Astyanax mexicanus: one gene and its partner. The protein of the gene in region 2 interacts with the protein of the main gene of each other region in a pairwise test. Links are inferred from orthologs where the notes say so. Each region holds a gene or a part of one and is shown on either strand. Other genes may lie near its edges.

Evidence for each region. The genes of interacting proteins can lie anywhere in the genome.
Region 1: the proteins of nfyc (region 2) and lmo4b interact in binary tests that used the Homo sapiens proteins (3 or more experiments, as listed by UniProt). The link is inferred for Astyanax mexicanus from reciprocal best matches to the Homo sapiens genes NFYC and LMO4.

What each region holds. Positions count from the first base shown.
Region 1 is NC_064412.1:49,900,003-49,911,078, forward strand, and holds the start of lmo4b (LIM domain transcription factor LMO4b), read left to right. Parts: upstream 1-6,494; 5' UTR 6,495-7,012; intron 7,013-11,076. UniProt on the Homo sapiens protein: Transcription cofactor. Plays a role in establishing motor neuron identity, in concert with MNX1, acting, at least in part, to disrupt LDB1-LHX3 complexes thereby negatively modulating interneuron genes in motor neurons.
Region 2 is NC_064410.1:49,640,599-49,650,922, forward strand, and holds the start of nfyc (nuclear transcription factor Y subunit gamma), read left to right. Parts: upstream 1-5,937; 5' UTR 5,938-6,090; intron 6,091-6,457; exon of another isoform or gene 6,458-6,482; intron 6,483-10,324. Other genes in the region: uncharacterized protein si:ch211-13c6.2, read left to right, coding at 507-1,332, 1,915-1,966, 2,435-2,506, 2,578-2,679, 2,773-3,481, 3,644-3,843. UniProt on the Homo sapiens protein: Component of the sequence-specific heterotrimeric transcription factor (NF-Y) which specifically recognizes a 5'-CCAAT-3' box motif found in the promoters of its target genes.

The DNA.
Region 1 (11,076 bases), on a different chromosome or scaffold from region 2:
ATATCAGACTGTAGCCTGTGTTTTTACCATGTTAAAACAAGATACATGGGATGAACTATTAGCGAAGCTAATATCGCCCTGGCTTACCAGAACACTCAGGGCTCTTTAGTGTAGCGACGTTGCGCTGCATTTATGTTTCGCTTGCGCTAGCGGTTAGCTGCTAATGGCAAATGCTGCTGCATGCAGCTTTAGTGGAAATCTGGAAATCTCAGTTTACTGTAAATAAATGGAAGCGCTTTAGTCACCCAAATAAACAATTTTTAGAAGAGAAATGTGTGTAGATTAACACCTCATTTGAGTTAAAAAAAAATGTTTTTTAAGAATTACAGTTTTGTTTTACTTGTCTTGTCTTAGCTTTACTTAACTTAGCTAACTTAGTGCTGTCTATAACAGCTTTTGCTGGTTACCTAAACCAACTGTGAACATGGAGAGCAGAGCAGTAAACATAAAGTCTTCTGATCATTCACTTATCAGTAAACCAAACACAGACAGGAATACACCTGAAGGGCTTCTGGACATGGTGAACATAAGGCTTGTGTTGTGTATAGTAAAAGTTGTAAGTGGTATTAGTGAATATAGTAACTCTGTATTGTAATAGAGAAGTGGGCGGAGCTTCTGGACATGGTGAACATAAGGCTTGTGTTGTGTACAGTAAAGTTGTAAGTGGTATTAGTGAATATAGTAACTCTGTATTGTAGTAGAGAAGTGGGCGGAGCTTCTTCTGGTCATGGTGAACATAAGGCTTGTGTTGTGTACAGTAAAGTTGTAAGTGGTATTAGTGAATATAGTAACTCTGTATTATAGTAGAGCTTGTTGGTGTCATTCTTTGTTCATGTTGTTCTATTTGATATTGCTTGTGTTTGGAACGTGTTGTAGGCCTTAAATGCAGGAATTGCTGTAAATCAGTAAATTTAATTGAGTTGAACACATTTAACATCTTAAATATCTTGGGGAATTTGCTTTTTCTTTACTGTCCCAAATTGTTTGTAAAAACACTTTGTGCCTCTATGATTGAAACACAACCCTAACATCATTCAGTGATATTATAAAGTGGATGAACTCGTATGTGTACCAAAATGCTTTAGGGCCCTAATTCAAAGTCATACTGTGTAATATTGTAACGTTATTAAACTTATGTGTTTCTCTGAAGAACACACTTCATTTTGAGGGATCGCCGAACCTCCACCAGCAGAAATCAATGGAGTTTGATATGTTTAACTTCACACAGGCCGTAAATATTTAACTTGAGTTTATATTGTTGTGCTTTTTCAAGTTACTATAGCCACGTATTGGGGTGGGGGGCTGTTTTCTGCAGGGATCCCTACAATACCCCTTTCTTTTATTCTATATTGAATATCATATTTCAATGATAAAAAAAAAAAAAAAAAAATCAGAAAAAGGGAAGTAAGTAATTTTTCTTGCCCATTTATGAAAAGCTCATTAAAAACAGGCAAAGAACAAACAAAGCTTCTCCTTTGAGGCACCCATTCAGACTCGTCCCCTAATTTCCCTCTAGTTTTAATAGTTGAGATAAATTAATTATTCCTTTGTGGAAAATACATTCTTTGCCATCTTTGGCTCATTGTTCCAGCCGGAGAGAATGGCGCCTAATCCTGGATGGAACAGAGTTCCCCTTCCAGCAGGGAAATCAGACCGCGCTCCGCAATCAACCACGACCACTCACAATTAAACCATTAAGACGGCCTACCGGAGACTCTTTACACACTGTACGTCTTATTAATGAATCCAGAGGCAACTCATAATTGCGCCCGAACTGATTAACTGCCCACTGAAACCCCGTCTCAGAGTGCCATGACACTTTTCACCTTCTGAACTACTCAAACAAACATTTCAGCACAATTCAACTTACAGAGTTACAGAGCCAACCACTGAAGTCCGAACCAAAGTCTGAACTCAGATTCATGCGTTTGTATACAGTACACAGTATACAGTATAGAGTTAATTATCAGAATACTCTCCCAGATGGCATGAAGAAACGGCCTGAGCTCGACTTTTGTATACTGCAAAAATCTAAAAAAATAAATATTAGGAAGTAAAATTATTAAATTTCAATGCAATAAATCTTATTCATCTTTTTTCTCTGATAAGAGTTTTTGTCTTACTAATCATTGTATAGATTGAATAGTAAGTGTAAGATTATTCAGCTTATTTTAGGAATAATGATCTTAATCAGACTCACAAAACAGAGGTACAAAAGGAGTACTTTTTTGTACTCAAAAGTACACTCTTCATAATTGTACCCTCAAAGGTACAATATTGGTCTTAACAGGGTCAGATTTGTGCCCTCTGAAGTAGAAAGTAATTCCTAACAGCAATAAGTACAAATTTGTACCATTTAACCAGGCAAAAGGTACATTCAGTATACTGTACCACTTTACTAATAAACAATATATATTTTATTTTCACATTTTTTTATTTGAAAGCCAGACAATTTTGCATCATGAAGTTCTTGACACATATTTAGTTGATGATAATGTTTATAATCTTTATAATCTTTACTGGCACAAAAAACATGGGAACAAAAAAAGACTTTCACTGAAAGGTACTTTTTCGTACCTTAATATAAGGTACAGCCCCAGCGACAAGCTTTTCACTCTTTTAAGTACAAATCTGTACTTACTTTTCTTAGTGTGTATTTTAAGTAGTTTAAACTTAAAATAAGCACAAACAAAGTCACCAGTCAAGTTATTCTGTTTCTTGTATCCAAATATAGGCCAAAAAAGTGTGATATTTTCTTGATTCAGGTGTTACTTCATTTATTTTGACACTTTGCTTGATTGCTTGTTATAATAAATCTAACTAAGAAAAATTAGCTTACCCCATTGGCAGTTTTTTTTTTTTGCTTAACATAGTTTTTGCCAATGGATTTTTTGCAGTGTATCATCGACTATTGGCATCGTCTATGTGGAATTGAGATGATGGCACTTGCAGCTCAGGCCAAATGTGGTTTACACTTGCGAACCAGGATGTTGGCAAAAGTGAAATGGGAGGATTCTCATATTATACTCTGCAACAGGGGCGTCGCCTGCCCTGGGCTTCCGGGCTATGGTTTTAAGTAAGCAACAGTAAAAGGTAACTATATTATTGCTAATATAAATTAGAAGTAAATTACATTGTTAAATAAAATGCTGGGAAAACTGGGGAAACTCTATGCAAAAGTGAAAGCTAGTGATGTTTTTTAAATGTTTTTAGAGTTTGTCATTTTCGTTTTCTGCCACATGCAGTTTTTTCATCTTGTTTCTAAGTTTTTTAATAAGACGGCAACAATCAACCATGCTGAATTACAGCACACTTTTAAATCCATCAAATATAAAAAAACTACATATTATGCAGGATGCTTAAAAAATATATGTAAAAAAATCTTATAATTGGCTGAGCTGAGCCCCGGGTCTTTAGCTGCCCATGCAACGCCCCTGCTCTGCAACCAGAGTGGTGGCACATACGGCTCAGGCTGATTGTCGTATTGTACTCAACAACCGAAGACTTGCCCCAGGCAGTTTAGGCTACTTATCATTGTCACACAACTTAGCCTGTGTCTGTCTTGTGTTTTTTCCTCTTTTGGTTCGATGTGCTTCTGCCCTCTGTTTTCCTGTCTTGTGTTCCCAGCCATGTGCTTTTTTAAGCACATGGCCATGTTGTGTTATTGTCCTGTCTTCGCCCTAGCCTTTCCCTAGCCATTAGTGTTGCCACCTTGTGTCTTGTTTGTAACCCCGCCCCCTCGTTTACTGGTTCCAGGTGTTCCTTACCCTCCTAGTGCATTTAAGCCCCTTTGTCTTAGTGTTTTTTGCTGTACTTGTATGTATGCGTCAGGTTTGTTTTTGATTTGAGTATTATTGTTTTCTAAGTTTTGATTAGTTTTTGTTCTGGTCTTAGTTATTTAGTTTCCCAGTTTAGATACCTGTTTTGTGTATCTTGCATTACTGGTGTTTGTTTTGTGTTTTGCTTTTGTTTAACTTTCCTGTGTGACAGTTATATTATACTCAACAACCGGGGTGATGGACTAAGTGATTTGAGCCAATTCCCATATTATACTCGACAACTGACGAACTGGAAAAAAGTGGACTCTTTAACCGAAGAGGTGTGGCTTGAGTCGATTGTCGTACTATACTCTACAACCAGAGAGTTCGCATTTGCGGCTCAGGTGAGCCCAGATGTGAGCCGAGCATTTGGGCCAGAATAGAGCCCAGATTCAAATTCGGATCTCTGCCAGTGCAACTCGTGCTCAGTGTGTGGTTTTTGTTATCAAGGGTGTCTTCTAGCCTTCAAAACACACAAATAATAAAGTAAGATTTTAATTTGCTACACTATAATCATAATTAAAAGGCAACACAGAAATCTCATTTTTTATAGCTCAACCACTTTTTATTTCCCGCAATGCATGCGCCCAAGGTGGACAATAACAGGGTGGATTATTATTATTATTTTTTTTATTTTTTATTATTTAATGAAAACATGGTTGATTTACAGTTGAAGACATGTTAAATTGTATACAGTAGCCTTGTATCTGTTTCAAAGACACATTTTAATTTTCTAAAATTCGTTTGATTTATATATGTCTAGTCAGAATGAATTAATAGAACTATTATTATTACTATTGATGATTTATTGACATAGCTGATGCCTGAAAAGGGATTCTAGCAGTAAAAACTACTCTAATGAAGAATAAGGAATCTTAATGAAGAGATCTTGTATTTGTTGAGTTCATTATTTACATTTTAAATATATATATATATATATATATATATATATATATATATATATATATATATATATATATATATTTTTTTTTTTTTTTTTTTTTTTCTGTTGGTGTTCTGTTGCAGTTTTGTTGCAGTTCTACAGAATTCTCTTCATTATGCTATAGTGACAACACCTTTATTTTCTAGTAGGTTCTTCTCTTCACCTCCTGCTATAGGAATATAAGCTTCCATTGCCCCTTAGACTAATGTAGTCCCCAAACTTTACACCAGCAGAGATGAGTAATCAATTATCAGCATTAAATATTGACGTTTAATGTATTCAGTTGTGTTTTTAGTGGTATAGTTCCATTTATGTCCAGATGATGGCGCCACTGTGTAAGAGCAGGTGCTGAAAAATGGCTTTGTGTTGGACAGTCAGTCACAGCAGCATCAAACTCACAGCCTGAAAAGTTCCTGTGCTCTCAGCTACATCTACAGCTACCAAAATATATATATATATATATATATATATATATATATATATATATATATATATATATATATATATATATATATATATATATATATATATATATATATATATATGCAGGTCAGCAGTGTTGCTCTGATATAGGGGTTGGTTGTGAAGGTGTTGCTGCTACATATGGTTAAATGTTGGAAAGCAACTTTATTTGGCTAATGGAACTGTATCCAAAACATGAAAATATGGTAGATGGTGCAACGCATATATTTGATAAATACAGCAGTGCCTACAAACATTAAGCTAAATGTTTTAGTCCCAAAACATTTAAATATATTTGGCTTAGTCTTCAAACATTTTGCTAAATGTTTGTCAAAAAAAAAACTTCTAAAAAAATTTCTAATAGGGCTGTGCCTGAAAATGTTTGGCTAAATGTTGGTATCCAGGAATATTACAAAAACGCTTGTCTAATAGAGCTTTGTCTAAAAACATTTGGCTAAATGTTTATATCCAAGTACATTGCAAAAATACTTGTCTAACAGCGCTTTGTCTAAAAATGTTTTGCTATATGTTGGTATCCAAGAACATTGTAAAAATACTTGTCTTAACTGATCAGTGTGTCTAAAAACGTTTGGCTAAATGTTCAAGTCCAAAAATATAGGGAGTTCAGAAACATGTGGTGGAATGCAACTCCACCAAATTCCATGGAATCCACACACATTTAGCTAACTGTTTTAACCCAAACACATTTAAATACATTTTGGCTAATTGTAGTAAGGTTTCAAACATTTGGCTAAATGTTTCAACAAAAAAAAAAAAAAAAAAAAAAAAACATTTAAAATAATTTGGCTAATAGTAGTAAGTCTTCAGACATTTGGCTAAATGTTTTGACCCAAAACATTTAAATACATGTGGCTATTAGTAGTTAGTCTTCAAACATTTGGCTGAACGTTGGAGTCCAAAAATATTGCAAAAAGTTTTGTCCAATAGAACAGTGTACAGAAACTTCTGGTTAAATGTTGGGAGTCCAAAAACGTTTGGTTAAATGTTGGAACGCAATACATCTATGTATCAGAGCTGTGTCTACAAAGGTTTGATTAAACGATGGAAAATATAAAAGTAGAAAAATTAAACTGCAGCTCACCTCCTTCACTCAGAACTCAATGTGCTGTATTGCGCTGCTCTGATTGGCCGGATTTGTTCATCCCCCGGAACGGAGCTCCGCACGATTGGCTGCTACAGATTGACGTGCTGCAATGTGGGCGGAGCCTGTGTGTTTTTTTATTATTTGTATTTTTTCTCAGTCACTGACACATGTAGAGCAGCGCAGCGAGCAGCGCGGAGAGAGAGAGACAGAGACAGAGACACGAGGAGCAGCGGCGGAGATTACGAGCCTCACACCGCGTTTCAGAGCTCTCACACCGGCCACAGCCTGAGGGAAATTACCGAGAGCTGAACGAGAGACCGAGCTGAGCGAGAGTACGAGCGGTGTCGGGTTCGGGAGAGACAGGGAGACGGCGGGAGGAGGCGAGGGACGGGTCGGAACCGGTGGAAATATAATCTGTAAACTCCATTTGCTGAAGCGGATCCGGAGCTGAGCAGCGCTGTAGCTGATTCTCCAGCCCGCCAGAGAGCTCACCACTGCCCGGATACCTCCTCATGCAGAGCCGCTGAGCTTTATGGACGATTTGTTTTGGTGTTTTTTGAAATATTTTGTTAATTTGACATTTTTTACCAGTTTTTGAACTGTTTCTTGACCCCCCACGGGACACAGAAAGAAAGCTACAGTCATTTAGACGCTTGAAAACGAATTTACTCGGCTGTAAAAGAGGTGAGTTCGGGTTTTTAATGGTGTAAAACTAGTCCAACTTTTAAACTTACACCCTTTTTAACTTAGAAAAATCTACATCTTACTATTGTCAGAATAATGTAATGCTTATATTTGTTTATTAAGCTTTTATTAAGGGTGGTTTACTTCCTCAGGTACAGCTGCATAGCTAACCTAGTAAACGTGCGCATTAATTAGGAATAAGCTCATTACAATAAGGATGCACGATACTGAAGAAAAAAAAAGGTGCATTGCGATATTTTTTCCTGCGATATATATCACGATATGAATTTTTTTTTTGAAAAATAAATAAATAAATAAAATCTAAAAAATTAACGATCCAACATGTCACAATATTGATAATCTAATAATGCTCTGTGTATTGAAGATTTGAGTGAAATCAATATTGATGTAATCTACTTTTGATAACTAATAGTTTGTTATAGATATGTCATTTAAAATATCTTTTTTGTATCAAACAGCAAAAAAAAGGATGCAGAAGTTATGTGAATATGTGTATGATATATTGTGTAGCCCTAGTTTAAATAGCATGGCAAAGACTGCAATAATGTCAACTAATATTCACAAAAAGTCAAGTCTGTCACTTGTTTTATCATACAATATATGTTTTTATACAGTATTTTGTACAAAATATAGTTCAATAGTTGTGCTGTTAGTAACACATTTTAAAACGTCCATCCAAATACCCTCCTATACACACAGCACTTTAAAATGATTTGTTTTAATCAAATGTTGCTACATACTTTTCATGTTAAACCACAGTACAGTAATTACACACTCTGTAATGCATGTAAAAAAAAGTACACACAGTTTAACTATAGCTCTAGAATTGCACTTTTTTTAATGTCAAAGGTATACTACTGTAATGAACAGGTATTACTTATAATAAGGTTTATAAGAAATATAAGATAAGATCATCCTTTATTAATCCAAACCACAGTGGGGGAATTGGTGTATTGCAATATTACAGCAGTGTAGAGGACAGAACAGATGGAAAATATGTTCAAAAATATACTAGACATTAGTATTACTCGTGCACATGATGACATAGACTAGTTAACAGATTAAACAGATTGTGCTACACATGGTGAATCAATGGGATACTATTATAGGATGTTGCATATATAGTAAACAGTATGCAGTTATCCTGCACCTGGTTGGACAGTGATAAAAATAAAGCGTTAATAGTAAATAGTAAAGAGCTGTATTGAAAAACCTTATAGAACTGGAGGAAACATTGTCCCCCATAGTGTATATGTTGTGTTAAACAGTAAACAGTGATGAATAAGCAAATTATTAAAAGCAAAAAATAAGTAAATAAGTTATAATATCTCTCTTAATGAAATTGAACAAAGTGAATAGAGTGTGCTACACATGGTGAATGGGGAGATATAGCATATAGTAAACAGTACACAGTTCTACAACAAATGGATGGACAGTGAGTAAATAGTACATAGTAAAACTTTATGTTGTACGTAGATGTAGATTAGAGAAAACATGTTTTCCCAGTATATAGTTTGTGCTGTTGTAGACAGTGCTCATTTATAATTGACTTAAGTTAACAATAAATAAATAGCAGATTAACATTAAAAAGATGTGATATTGGACATAGCATGCATAGTAAACAGAGTGACCAGATAGTGAGTGCTGCACATGGTGAACAGTACACAGTTATACAGCACCTGATTGGACAGTGATAGAAGTATTGTACATAAGTAAACAGTAAGTGTTTAGTGTTATTTTACAAAATGACATAGAAAACAGAGTGAACAGAGTGTGCTACACGTGTTGAATGGGACTATTATGGGATATTGCACATATAGTAAACAGCACACAGCACATGATCTTACTTTAATAGCAAAAAAATGTGATTTAATAGCAAATTACCAATAAATATGTAATATGAGTACTATGTATTATGATCATATAGTTCTAAACATGGTAGTACAAGTAGCCTGGGGGGATATTATGGATATTGAACATTAAACAGTAAACAGTTATGTTTAACAGCACATGGTTAGTGCTGTGATAGTGATGCTTAGTGTTATTTAAGTTATATTGTAGGAGTATAATATATTCATATATATTTATCAGAAATTATTCAATTTAGTCAGCTGAATGAAAGCAGTGTCTGTTATTTATACAGATGTTTAACATCAGAGAGGTCTGCGGTCACCATGCCGCTTATCTTCTCTGGCGAACGCTATATTTCGTGCTCGAGCTGCACGGCCGTGTAATTGCTTGAGTTAGCCCATTTAAGTTAAAAGCCTCCCCCCTTCCTCCTCCTCCTCATCCTCTTCCTCACCCACCTTCAAATCTCCCCTTCCTCTGTAGCCGGAATGAAACTTGACGATGGTCCGATCTTATTTATCAGGAGCAGTCCCTTTCTGTCCGGCCCCTCTGATTCATCTGCTTTTAGATTTAATCAGCACTAAGGTATTGCTTGTCCCTAAGAGCCTCCACTAATGGGGTTTATACTGAATGCCTCTCTCAGTGCAACGTTTTTCTACCCCTCCTCCTCCTCCTCTTCCCTCCTTCCTCCTCCTCCTCCTCCTCCTCCTCTAATTACCTTTCAACACAGATTTGGCTTAGCCCGCCATGAAGGCAGGCCTGACCAAATTGGAAAGGATTAAAAATTAAAATATATTAACTTAGTTGAAGGGCGGAACTGAGAAAGATGCATCTGTCGAATGCGAATAGATGACAAGATACACAGTCAACGTTCCTTAACATGTGTTCTTAAGTGTTTTAGCGTCCTTGTGTTCCTACCTGGCATCATTTTCTATGGCCCAAGTTGCATTCCAATACTTAAAAATGTATTTCCTCACTAGAAGTAAAAGATTTTTCCTTCTAAATTGAAAGTAGTAGGGCACATCTTATAGTAAACATATACATCAGTGCGCCACATACTGTATATTTATTCTAAAATCAAATTAGTCTGGTAGGTCCTCTGGCCTCTTTTTTTTTGTTGGCAACAACAGCTTTTACTGATTACCTGAGCAACCATGGTGCTGCTAATGGCACTGAAACAAGAGCCACTGCGAACATGGAGAGATCAGAAAGGCAAACTCTGCAAACAGACTTCATCTGTTCATTTACACATCTCTAAACCAAATAAACACAGAATTAAAACTGAAGAGAGCTCAAAGATAAAAAGGAGCTCAGCAGAATCCTCACTAAAATCACCAGATGCATTAATTCTGAAATAAAACTACACCACAATCATTAAAAAAAAAGTACTTTTTTTTAACATCCTCAGTACAATTACACACTATGCAATTTTCACTATGGATGCAGAGTGATAGCAGAATTATATCAATATCTGCCAATAATTTTACCTTTAGAGTCATTAGTATGGCCAATATTTCAAACAGAAACTTGCTCATTTATGTATAGTATGCTGAAAAAGGACAAAGTTATTCTGTCCCCACTAGAACAATTGGCCGACACTGGCCTCACTACTTTAAAATGGAAAAATCCATTGATTAAAACTAATAAAAATAAATAAAAACTACCTTAAAAGTTATAAAGTTATATACCAGGTTTTGTAGTCTCTCTGTAAGTTATAAATGTATATTGACATCTGCCCAGAGTTCATCTCTGTTTCTCACCTCTGTCACTTTAAATAAGTTGCTGTTATGTCAATACTGCATATGCATGTATTACAATGGCCAGTAACAGCAAAAAAAAAAAAAAAAAAAACAAAACAAAAAAAAACGATATATCTATCACAATATTAAAAGACATTTTTACCATACTCAATATTTACAAGCGACATGTTCTGGCCTGACATCATTTTCCACAGCCCAGGTCACATTTCAGTACACAAGAACACATTAAGGAAGCAGTTAGAGTTCCTTGGTGTGCTCTTGCTCTGCCTTTAAAAACAAGGATGCATCAGTTAGGAAATTGCTGACAATATTTGATAGAAATGCTAGAATAAGTTCTAGTATTTGAAATACTAGTTCTAATCTGTGCACATAGAGAAATAGGTAGTAAAGTTAAATCTAAGAATGTATCTTTGTATTAAGAGCAGAGGCACAGTA
Region 2 (10,324 bases):
TTGATTACAATAGTAAGTGCATTTACAAACACTTAATAATAATGATGAACTGCTGAAATTTTGATGTTTTTCTGTTAATACATTTAAAAAGACCTTAGTAATCTGATAACAAGAACTTTTAACAAATGTGATGTGCAAACGTACAATAACTTTACAGCAAAGAGTTATTTCTTTTTTCTGTTTAATCTTTGTGTGTAAATAAAAACAGCAATAATTAGCTAACGGACAAGAAATAATTATTATTTGTGAGCATGTGAGTGCACTGAATGAAAATAGGAGTATTAGTCCTCAGCTTAATGTTAATAACCTAAGCTGAAACATGTATGTTTCTGGAAACAATAGCATTTGTCATCTTTAGGCTTAATATAGCAATATGGCTCAACACCACCAGTCCACAGTTTGAAAATCTCAGTTTTAAACCCTTTTTTTTATTCTTTGTCATTATTAATTGAAAAAAAAAAATAACAGTTTGACACCTTTTTTTTTTTTTTTTTTTTAAATCACAGCAGGCCCCAAACCAACACAAGGCTCTCATTCTCACGCATATGAAGCATCATCTTATGGCCAAGACTGGAGAGGGCAGGCTCACTTAACCACAGATGGATATAGACAACCGGATTTTCCAAACAATGTTTTTGGGAAGCCATCTCAATTTCATGGGAATGACCAGAATGATCGTCCCAGAGGTGATGCAGCTCTATGGCAAGCTTATCCAAACACTGACCGACCTGAAAATGCATATTATCAAGATGGCAGACCAAGACCTTATCAAAATGAAGGCTACAAAGAAAAATTACCATATCTTGAAGGAGATGGTAGTGTAAGGTCTTTTGTAGAGGGTGATGGTAGTGGAAGACACCATCTAGACAAGGCAATTCCAGGGAGCTCTTATCGCAATGAGCATCAGGATCAGTACTACCCAGAAATGGATCCCAGAAGAGGGTGGAACTCGAGTGGAGTTGTACAGCAGGATCTCTATCATGGCGGTGTTCCAAGAAGCAGGTTTGCTGACACAGACAGGAGTGGTCCAGCTCAGCACCCAGAAGAAATGGTCGGACAGGTTCGTGGTCAGATGTACGCGTCACGTGATGGAAGAGGACATAGTATGGAGGAGATGCAAAGACCTGGCAGAAGCTTTCAGAATATGGAGAAAGGAACAGACTATCTCCAAACTATGATAAGAGAAGCAAGAGCTGGAACCTATGAGATGCAGGAATATGCCAAAAGGGGTGGTATGGGAGATTATGCTCAGGAACATGTCCCACACAAAAAGAAAAGGGAGAGTAGATTTTCTGATGCCACACCAAAGGAGGTTGAGCTTGCACAGAGGAGGTAATGTCTATTTCCAATTGATGGCAATCTATCAAAGAATGGAGCATGTTTTAAAGAAGAAATCCAGTGTGAAATCAACTTGTAGAGGTGAAAATGGTGTAGTAAAATATGATAAGTGTAAACTTTTGTGGAGTAGCCCACCTCCATTCACCCCCAGCATTCTGAAATACAGCACTTTTAGCCGATGCTCCCAACAGGCTTACAGTGCTGGTGATGGGGGCATAGCATTGCCCATGCAAAGACATCGCCACTTTTTTTAATAAACTTTTTTATTTTCTTTGTTAATGGTGTGAAAATAGCCGTTTCTTTGCACCTGTCACCAGCATTGTAAGCCTGTTGGGAGTATTTGCAAAAAGTGTTGCATTTCAGAATGCTGCGGGTGATCAGAGGTGGGCTGTGTGACAAAAGTTTCTACTCATCATATTTTACTATACCTCCATTTACACATGATTTTTACATAATTTAACAAACTTCATATTTTTTTTTAATATGTAAAGTTATATGTGCTAGTTTTGTATCTTTTATGATTCACTTTGATAACCCTTGTACTTAAGATTTCCAATGTATATATATTTTTTTCAGGTTTAAAGAAGGCACATTTCCACCCATGAATCAAAGTAGAGGCCCAGTTCAGGTGTGTTTAATGGAAAGTTGTCACTGCTCCAAGCATGTGTACTCACTAGATCATTGTGCGTGCGTGCGTTGAACATCTATTAATGAGATTTCTTGCCATCACGTTCTTGTGATTAGATTACAGGCAAGGTTTGCATCTTATGACTCGTCCATTAAAGTACTGCATAAACAACACTTTGCTAAACTTTGTTGTAAATACTCAACAGTAATGTAGACGTTCTGACTGTCTGTTGGTATTTAACATTATTTGATCCACCGGGTCACTTGTGTTGCTTATGTGGCAGAAGTCATATTAACTTCTGCCCAGTGACATTTGGCATGTTGGTTTGTTGTTTTTTATGTTTTGTTGGCCTCAGATGCTCTAACAACTACAAGTACAAAATGACAAAAGTCATTTGGCCAAAGGTCCTTAAGTGTATTTGTTTTTTTTTTTTTTGGTCCTAATATCATATCAAAAATGTCTATACAGGTATTTGAAGAAAGAAGGGCTTTAGATTCGATGCACACTGCTGTGAACTCGGAAAATGTTTTGGACGTGCTGGTAAGTGTAGACGATTAAACAAATAATTACTGTCATTGTTTTGTGTTTTTACTTTTTTTTTTTTTTTTAAGGATGGGGTCCAAATTGACAGTGCAGAAGAGGCTAACTTCTTGAAGCAAAAGTTGTGCGATGTTCTGAAGCAGTTTCATGCGAATAAATCTCAGCGTTCTGAGGTTTGAACTGGATCCTTGTCTTTTCACTACTCTAAAATAAGGTTTATCTTATAAATTCTAAATCTTTTTTTCCACTCCTCAAACACATCCCAGGTCTCTCCAAGTGACAGAGAGTACAGGAGTGACGTATGGATGGATCAGCGGAGGAACGCGCAGGAGATAAGAGAGTCCGCAAGATATGACCGTGATCTTAGAAATTTAACAAATGATTCCACGGGCGTTAAAGAGACATGGCCATGGCCAGAGAAAAATACCAGAGATGTTCAGGACCCAAGATATGTTGAAGACCAGAGACCTGATACAAGATATGAAAATCGTTCTACAGATTTTCAAGAATCAAGACCTTATGCAGACTCTCAATCAGATTTCCCACAGGCAAGAAGGTTCAAGGACAATCCCAGAGATTTTCAACACGGTGGCCAATTTGGAGAAAATCGTATGGCTTTTCAACAGGAAAGAGGGTTATGTGACAACTCCAGGGATGTTCAGCAAGCGGGACATTTTGAAGATCATTTTTCAGCATACCGGCAGGCCAGCAGTTTTAAAGAGAGCTCAAGAGCAGGACATGTCGAAGAGGACCCCAGAATCTTTCAGAGCATGAGACACACCGGGGGTACTGAAGAAAACAGAAGTTACGAACAACAATTTGAAGGAGCAGTATTGGGAAGACATGGCGATCGTGACTTCAGACGCGTTGATGCTCAGCATGAATTTGAATGGGGTGCACAAAGAAATAGATCGACTGGTCGGTCTGATGAGTTCAAGGATTATCATCCAGATGCTGAAAGAAAAGCTTATCAAGGTAGGCTGATGAGCAGTTCTAGTTTCTTCTAGTTCGATGTCTGTTTAGAATATTTTATACTTTGCGTATATTTATTGTCTAAATCTTAGAAGAAATAAAGGGTCGAAAAGAAAATTTAAAAGCTGATCAAATCCCAATTTTGTTTCACACTTATCTTTTCAGAGGGCCATTGGAAAACCAGGTCGCTCAGAGAAGATCAGGCATATGGCGAGAACCAAGCGCATATGCCTCATTACCACGTAGATCCAAGTACAGAACTCTACGATCCATTTCATCCATCATCGTCTCCACCACCAGCACCACCCCCCTCCAGTCTGGAAAAGCTGGCTTCCACTCTCTTGGAGCTTGTGTCACGAAACTGAATCTGAAAGGATTCCTAAGTGTAATGTACATAGATTTGTATTTGCTTATTTTGTGTAACGGTTAATTATAAATGTGTCATGTCTATTAGAAATGAATAACAGACATAGTTCTTTTCTGTTCTGATTGGATTGTATATTGCATTTGTAGTTGTTTTGATCTTTTTGAATTGTTGGCTGAATCTAAAAGAGAATTGTTGTTGCAGAAAATACCAGAAAAAATAAATTTTTGTTCCTAAAATCCTTCTGTCTCTTTCCTTAATTCCTCATGTCAATTTTCTTTCTGGCCGAGTTGTTCAGTGTTAACATTGGGGGGGAAAATGCAGACTTTCTGACTCCTAATAATGAGTATGAAAATAATTATCCCATAAGAGCCCAGACCCAGTTTTGAATATTGATTCAAAATAATTGGATCAGTTATATTGAGCAGCCCATTAATGATTCTTCTGATCGTGATCAAGGTCACAAAACTTCTGTAAATCTTTTAAGGTTTAAATCCCAAAGCAACACATCACAATGACAATTTCACAACATGTTTCATCATTTTGTTCAGCTTTGTAAATTGGCTTTTGGTAAATGGGGTCAGATGCACACATTCACAAACTGCCCTGCTACACACCCAGGATGTTTACATGCGTCACTTGAGGATTTCATAAGTTTGACTGAGGGACCAAGTACTGTAAAAAAAAAAAAAAAAAAACGCTTTCCGAAAGGACTGAGACACATTACTGGGAGGAGTTTTAGTTGTTGAATGAGCCATGGAGAAATGAATGTGTTCAAACTTATCTAACATGGTTTAAACCACCAGATTTGCAGTGACAGCAAAAAAAGGACACCTACTACTGCAGGACACAGCGTAGCTGAAGCTGAAAACATAAAAGGAGGAAGTAGATGCCGGTCGAAAGAAAATGTATTTTTATGTACCATTACTGAGACCATATTACCTTTTTTTACTTCATGTTTTTTCACTTGTTGACTGTACATGTCAAAATGCAGGAAGGTAGATCTCCATAATGAGTACTGATAGCCAGTACTTTAAAATAATTGGTGTCCACATTTCACCATATAATGTATTTAAGGATTTTGGAGCACACTGTTGTCTTTCCCATAAATCTGCTATTTTAATAAATAATGCTAAGTGATTCTGTCCCTCATCTTTTGTCCCCAGCCTCGTACCCTGGGTCATGCTTGATTATACGGTTTAGCTTGGGCAGTTTGATCATGCATCAACTGAACTTGTAGACCAGCTAAACCATCAAACTTCTACCCAGGCTGTTTTGTTTTTTTTGGTAGGGAAACCATGTTTGCATGAAAAACCATTAAATTGGTAAAGAAAATCAATCGAGTACATCTAGTGAAGTTTTTTTGAACATTCACTTTAGGCATATACATCTTTATTACTATTACTACTAAATATGCATTAACATTTGACTATCAAAAATAAAGCTGCACAACAGGGTGGATTGTAATAAAAATGTGGATGATCATTGGAATTCACCATTTGAAATCACCAATAGAGTTCATGGTGACATTGTTCAGTTTCAAATATACATTTTAATTTCCTTATAATTTACAATGACAGGGTAGAAAGCATTAGCTTTGCCTCAGCTATATATGTTTGTAAAAATTAATGAATATCACATTAAATTAACATTATAAATTGCTGAATATGCAGGAAGGGTCTTTCATCCCTTAAAAAAAGACAACAATCCACAGTAATTTACTGGTAATTCACAAAACTTGGTTGAGATTTGGGGAAGCTGCTTTTAGCTATTATGGCCCAAACCTTTGGAACGCAAAGCCATTTCATCTTTACACATTTTTAAAAAGAGTATTAAAACATTTTTATTTAAATTAGCATTTTCATGTGTATATTTTTTTTGTGTAAAGCACTTTGGGTTGCACTTGTGTATGAAAAGTACTGTATAAATAAAGATTATAATTATTATTTATTATAATTATTTTTTTATTATTGTGTAAATATGCACAGTTGAAATGAGCGGGCTGCTCTCGCCGAGCCAATCGTAACGGCGGAGGGCGGGGCTTGCCGGAATACAGGTGGACTGCGCGCTTTACAGGTGGGTTTCTGTTTTGAACGTCACGGTAAACGTAACACTTATTCCGGTTTGAAAAGAAGTTGTCAAAGCGTCGGCCATCTTGGCTCCTGTATCACCCTGAATTAAATTAAAATAGCGCTGAAGAGGACTGACTACAGGACTACAGGACTGCTGTACGGGTTCATCACCGAGAGTGAGTACAACAGCGGGACGCGACGCGCCGCTCCGGCTCGGTTTTAATGGCGGGTTGGGGTTAGATTAGGCGGAGGTCATGAGAGAGCCCTCGGCCAATGAACGGCCTCATCCAATGATTGTTTTGGAGGATGAACATGGGCGCCATTTCCCTCCTCGCTCTCTGAGGCGCTTATTGGTGGCTAGTGGAGAGGAATGGAGGCGGTCGGGAAACTGGCGGCCACTATCCGCCATATTGGCTCCGGGCTCCGCTGCGGCCGGTTGAACGCGGGCTTTGTGTTGAGCCCGAATGGCGTTGGTTTTCAACTCGCCAGCCCTTAGAAAGCTTGATTGGTGGAATCTAGTCCGGGGTTTGATTGGTCTGAAGGACAGATCCAAACGTAGTCTTTATTGGTTAGTATGTCTTTACAGCGCTTTACAAATATTTTAAGACACTTTAGCGTGGGGCTGCTGGATGTGTGACTGGACGCATCGCTCCGCTTTTAGTCCACAAACAAGATACTCGCGGCCTGCTGATAATAGCGAGCATTGTCTCCAAACTTTCACCAGCTCCTGTTTAAAACGCACATTAACACGCTGTCCGCCGGCGTTCATAAGGCTAGTGATCATACTGGCTTACAGTAACTACACTGTGTTACTGCTGAGCCAGAAGCCGCGCTGCCATTCACTTTCATTACAGGGTTATATTTATTAAACGATTTCTAGCTAACATAGTTTAGCTTAGATTGGTGTTAGCAGGCTAACGCTAATGGTCATGTGGGTTTGTGTTACGGCGAGCACAAATATTACATATTTGGTTATAGCATCACTTTACACTGTTTAAAAAAAACAACATAAAACAAAAAAACATGCAAATACTCCATCAAACAGGCTGTAAGAACTTTAATTTTCGTGCTTTCCCGCGGTAAACATTTGTTTGTACATAGCTTGCTAACTTATTAACTAGCTAGTTAATGTCTGTGCCAAAATAGCTAGCGTTAGCTAGTGATAGGTTAGTAGTTAACTAACCATATATATAAGTTATATATTTATAATATGTAGCCTTAGCTAGTTAACCCTCTATGAAGGAAAACTGTGGATATTAGTTATCAAATGACAGACTGATCATTGGGATCAAAGCTATAGGTACTTTTGAGCAGCATAACAGATGTCATATCGTAACGTGAGCAAAAATATTTCAAAAATACCCTGATATATAGTCGTATATTTTAGCACCATATGGACCATCAGGGTAAAACAATTGCTCTTTGTAGCAAAAGGAAAATTCACACTTCTAATTTCCCATTAAGTACCTGCTAGAGACAGATTCTATTTGTACAGTATTATTTATTTTACTTCATTTCTGGATATATGGAGTGCATTGTTAGTATCGTGACATTATTGATGATCTGCAGTAAATCTCAGTTAGGACTTTGGTTCATTAAATCTGCCATATGCCACATGCAATAAAATCAAACATTTCCAAAGTTACTATAACATATAAATCAAGTCTTGCTTGGTCTCAGAAAGTAGGGTTTATTCAGGGGCACTGTGTTTGTGTTCAAGTTACTGGTTACAGTAACTGTGTACTCTAATTTCCAAAAAAACTGGAATCACCACAAGATACAAGAAGTTTTTGACCTTTCATTTTCTGGCTCTACTGCCCAAACCTTCAGTACTTCTTCTCCTGACAGCTCTCAGTCTAACTCACATTCACAGTTCTGAATAAAATCATTTCACCTTACTCATCTCTGTGCTTACTAAGTATGGAGCCTGTGGTTCACTACAGAGTACATTAAATAAATGCTGATTTTTCAAATAGTTAACATTGCTGTGCATGTCTAAAAAAACAATGAAATTAACTACCTGTGACAAAAATGTAACATCTGCACAAAATGTAATCACTTTTCCTTTTATTGCACTAAAAGTATTCAGAAGATTCAGGCTAGTTTTGGATCTCCCACAAAGTAATGCCAATCTTTTCAATGATAAAATATAGAGGTTATATTATGCATAATCCTTTTAATTGCACCACAAATTAGATTACTTTACATGGTTCATATGGTCATGAAAAACCTGGAAAAGTAATGGAATGGCAATTTTCAGTCCTGGATAAGTTTTGGAAAAATAAAAAAAGAAAATGGAAAAGTCATGGAAATTTGATCTACAAATCTTTTTGTTTCCATTTGTCAGCAGAGAAAATCTATTTTGAGCTACAAATACATCAGCTCGAAGTTAATTCAGTAATTTAGTCTGATCCATTTTTAGGCCTACTATAAATATATTATATCATATAATATTATATTATAGGTTTAGTTGATTTTTGGTTTTATTGTCCATGTCTGCACTCATGTTTTAAAAATTGTATGGTCATGGAAATTTGCCTTAAATTAGGAATATAAGGAGCCTCCTTCACATACTTTATGTATGATAATATCGGTGTAAACGGACTCTGCAGAATGTAATAACGATAACTAGTGATGCTGTACAGCTCCAGTAGGCATATTTGGGGATATGATTTGTCATGGTGCTCGTCACCTTAATCCAGAATAATCAGATGCAATTAAAACAAGCTCTTCAGCCCAGCCTCCAAGCCAGGACTTTACTTAATGGAAAGCCTTTGTAATTTACTACAAAGGATTATGTACTTCCTGATCTCATTTATCTAGTAAACTCTACTTAGCCTATTTGCAGTGAATTAATTCCAGTCGTAGCATGTTGGGCATTATATTGCTTTCTCATGGATATAAAACCAGCTGAACAGTCTGTGCTGAGTGACACAGTGCATTTAATATTTCAGCCGCTGTTTCTAACCACATTACCCAAAGACAGTGAATGTTGCTGTAACACAGGAAGTGAGGTCCTCTGTGGCAGTTGAATGGCATGCCTGGAAACCATGACTCTCATGATAGTGCACCTTGATCTGACTTGGTCATAACCTGTTAAGATGTCTGTTAAAACTTTTGTAATGCTTACTTTTGTAAGCCTTATCCAGGGCGCAGTTGCAGACATACTGTTTAATTTTTAAAACCAGTGACTGGTGTAAAGGGAGGTTTTGCACTCAAATCATCTACAGAGCTTTTTTAGGAAATAGGCTACCTTTTTTGTTAGTTATCCTGTTTAACCCAGTGTTGCGCAGTTATGTGAGATATATCCAGCTCAGTTTGAGGTTAATTAGGTCCCATTTCACTCAGCTGCATTTTTTTATGGATTATTTAGTAAACAGCTTCCCACATATCCATCCACCTTTGCTGTTCACACAGCAAATTTCCCAGCACAGTCACGGTTGTTCCTAGTGATGTTTGATATACCAGACCACTGTTTAAACTTTCAAAACTCGTCTGGCTAGTCTGTGTTCTTATATAATTGCTTATATTTGATCAAGTTGCAGGTAAGATTTTAGTTTTTAATGATTACCCTAATGTTTTTTGCTGGTTATTGGTGGTCATATATACATTTTTGTTTTATATCACATCGTGACCATGAACTGCTGATTCTTATTATTTGCACTATACTTACCACAAGCTGGAAATGCATATTGTCTTTTTGTGGGCATTGATTTTATTTTCATTTTCAGAACTTTTCTTTAGACAGTTGCTTAGAGGAGTCCATATTGTGTAAAAAATAAACCATTAGAAGCTTTGTAATTCATTTAGCTGGGAGTTTGTTACAGTAGGTTACATTGCATATGGTGGTTTATACATGCATTTTGTAGCTGCAGACATGCTTATTTTTCGCAGGCATACTTCACTCATTTTCAAAGGATGTGCATCAAAGCAATGCAAGCACCAGAGTACCAATTCTGCCCTCCTATGGAAAAATGACTAATTTAAACTATGCATTTATAGATGTGTTGATGTGCATTTTAAAAAATGCATTTAGTTGTATGTATTTATTTATCGAGATGAGAGAATTTGGGAAAAATGGTTTTCTTAACGCCCTACATATTTAAGTTTGGTTAGGTACACAGAAGAGCTACTACAAGAATCAGTGATGGCCAGATCTTATTTATTAAATTAATTGCATACATGGATAACTTGTCTCATATTTGTAAGCTACTCATAACGCTGCATTTTGGGCTAAGCATAACAAGCATGAGGGAGAAATCTAGTCACTGCCCTCAGCAGGGGTCGTGATGGTGTTGCAGGTAGCAGTGAGAGAATGCAGCCATGGCATTTTGGCCAGCTGTTCCATAATCTCCTGTGCCTTGCTGCTATGTAATCATTTACCAGTGTACTGTGTGTCCAAAACGCTTG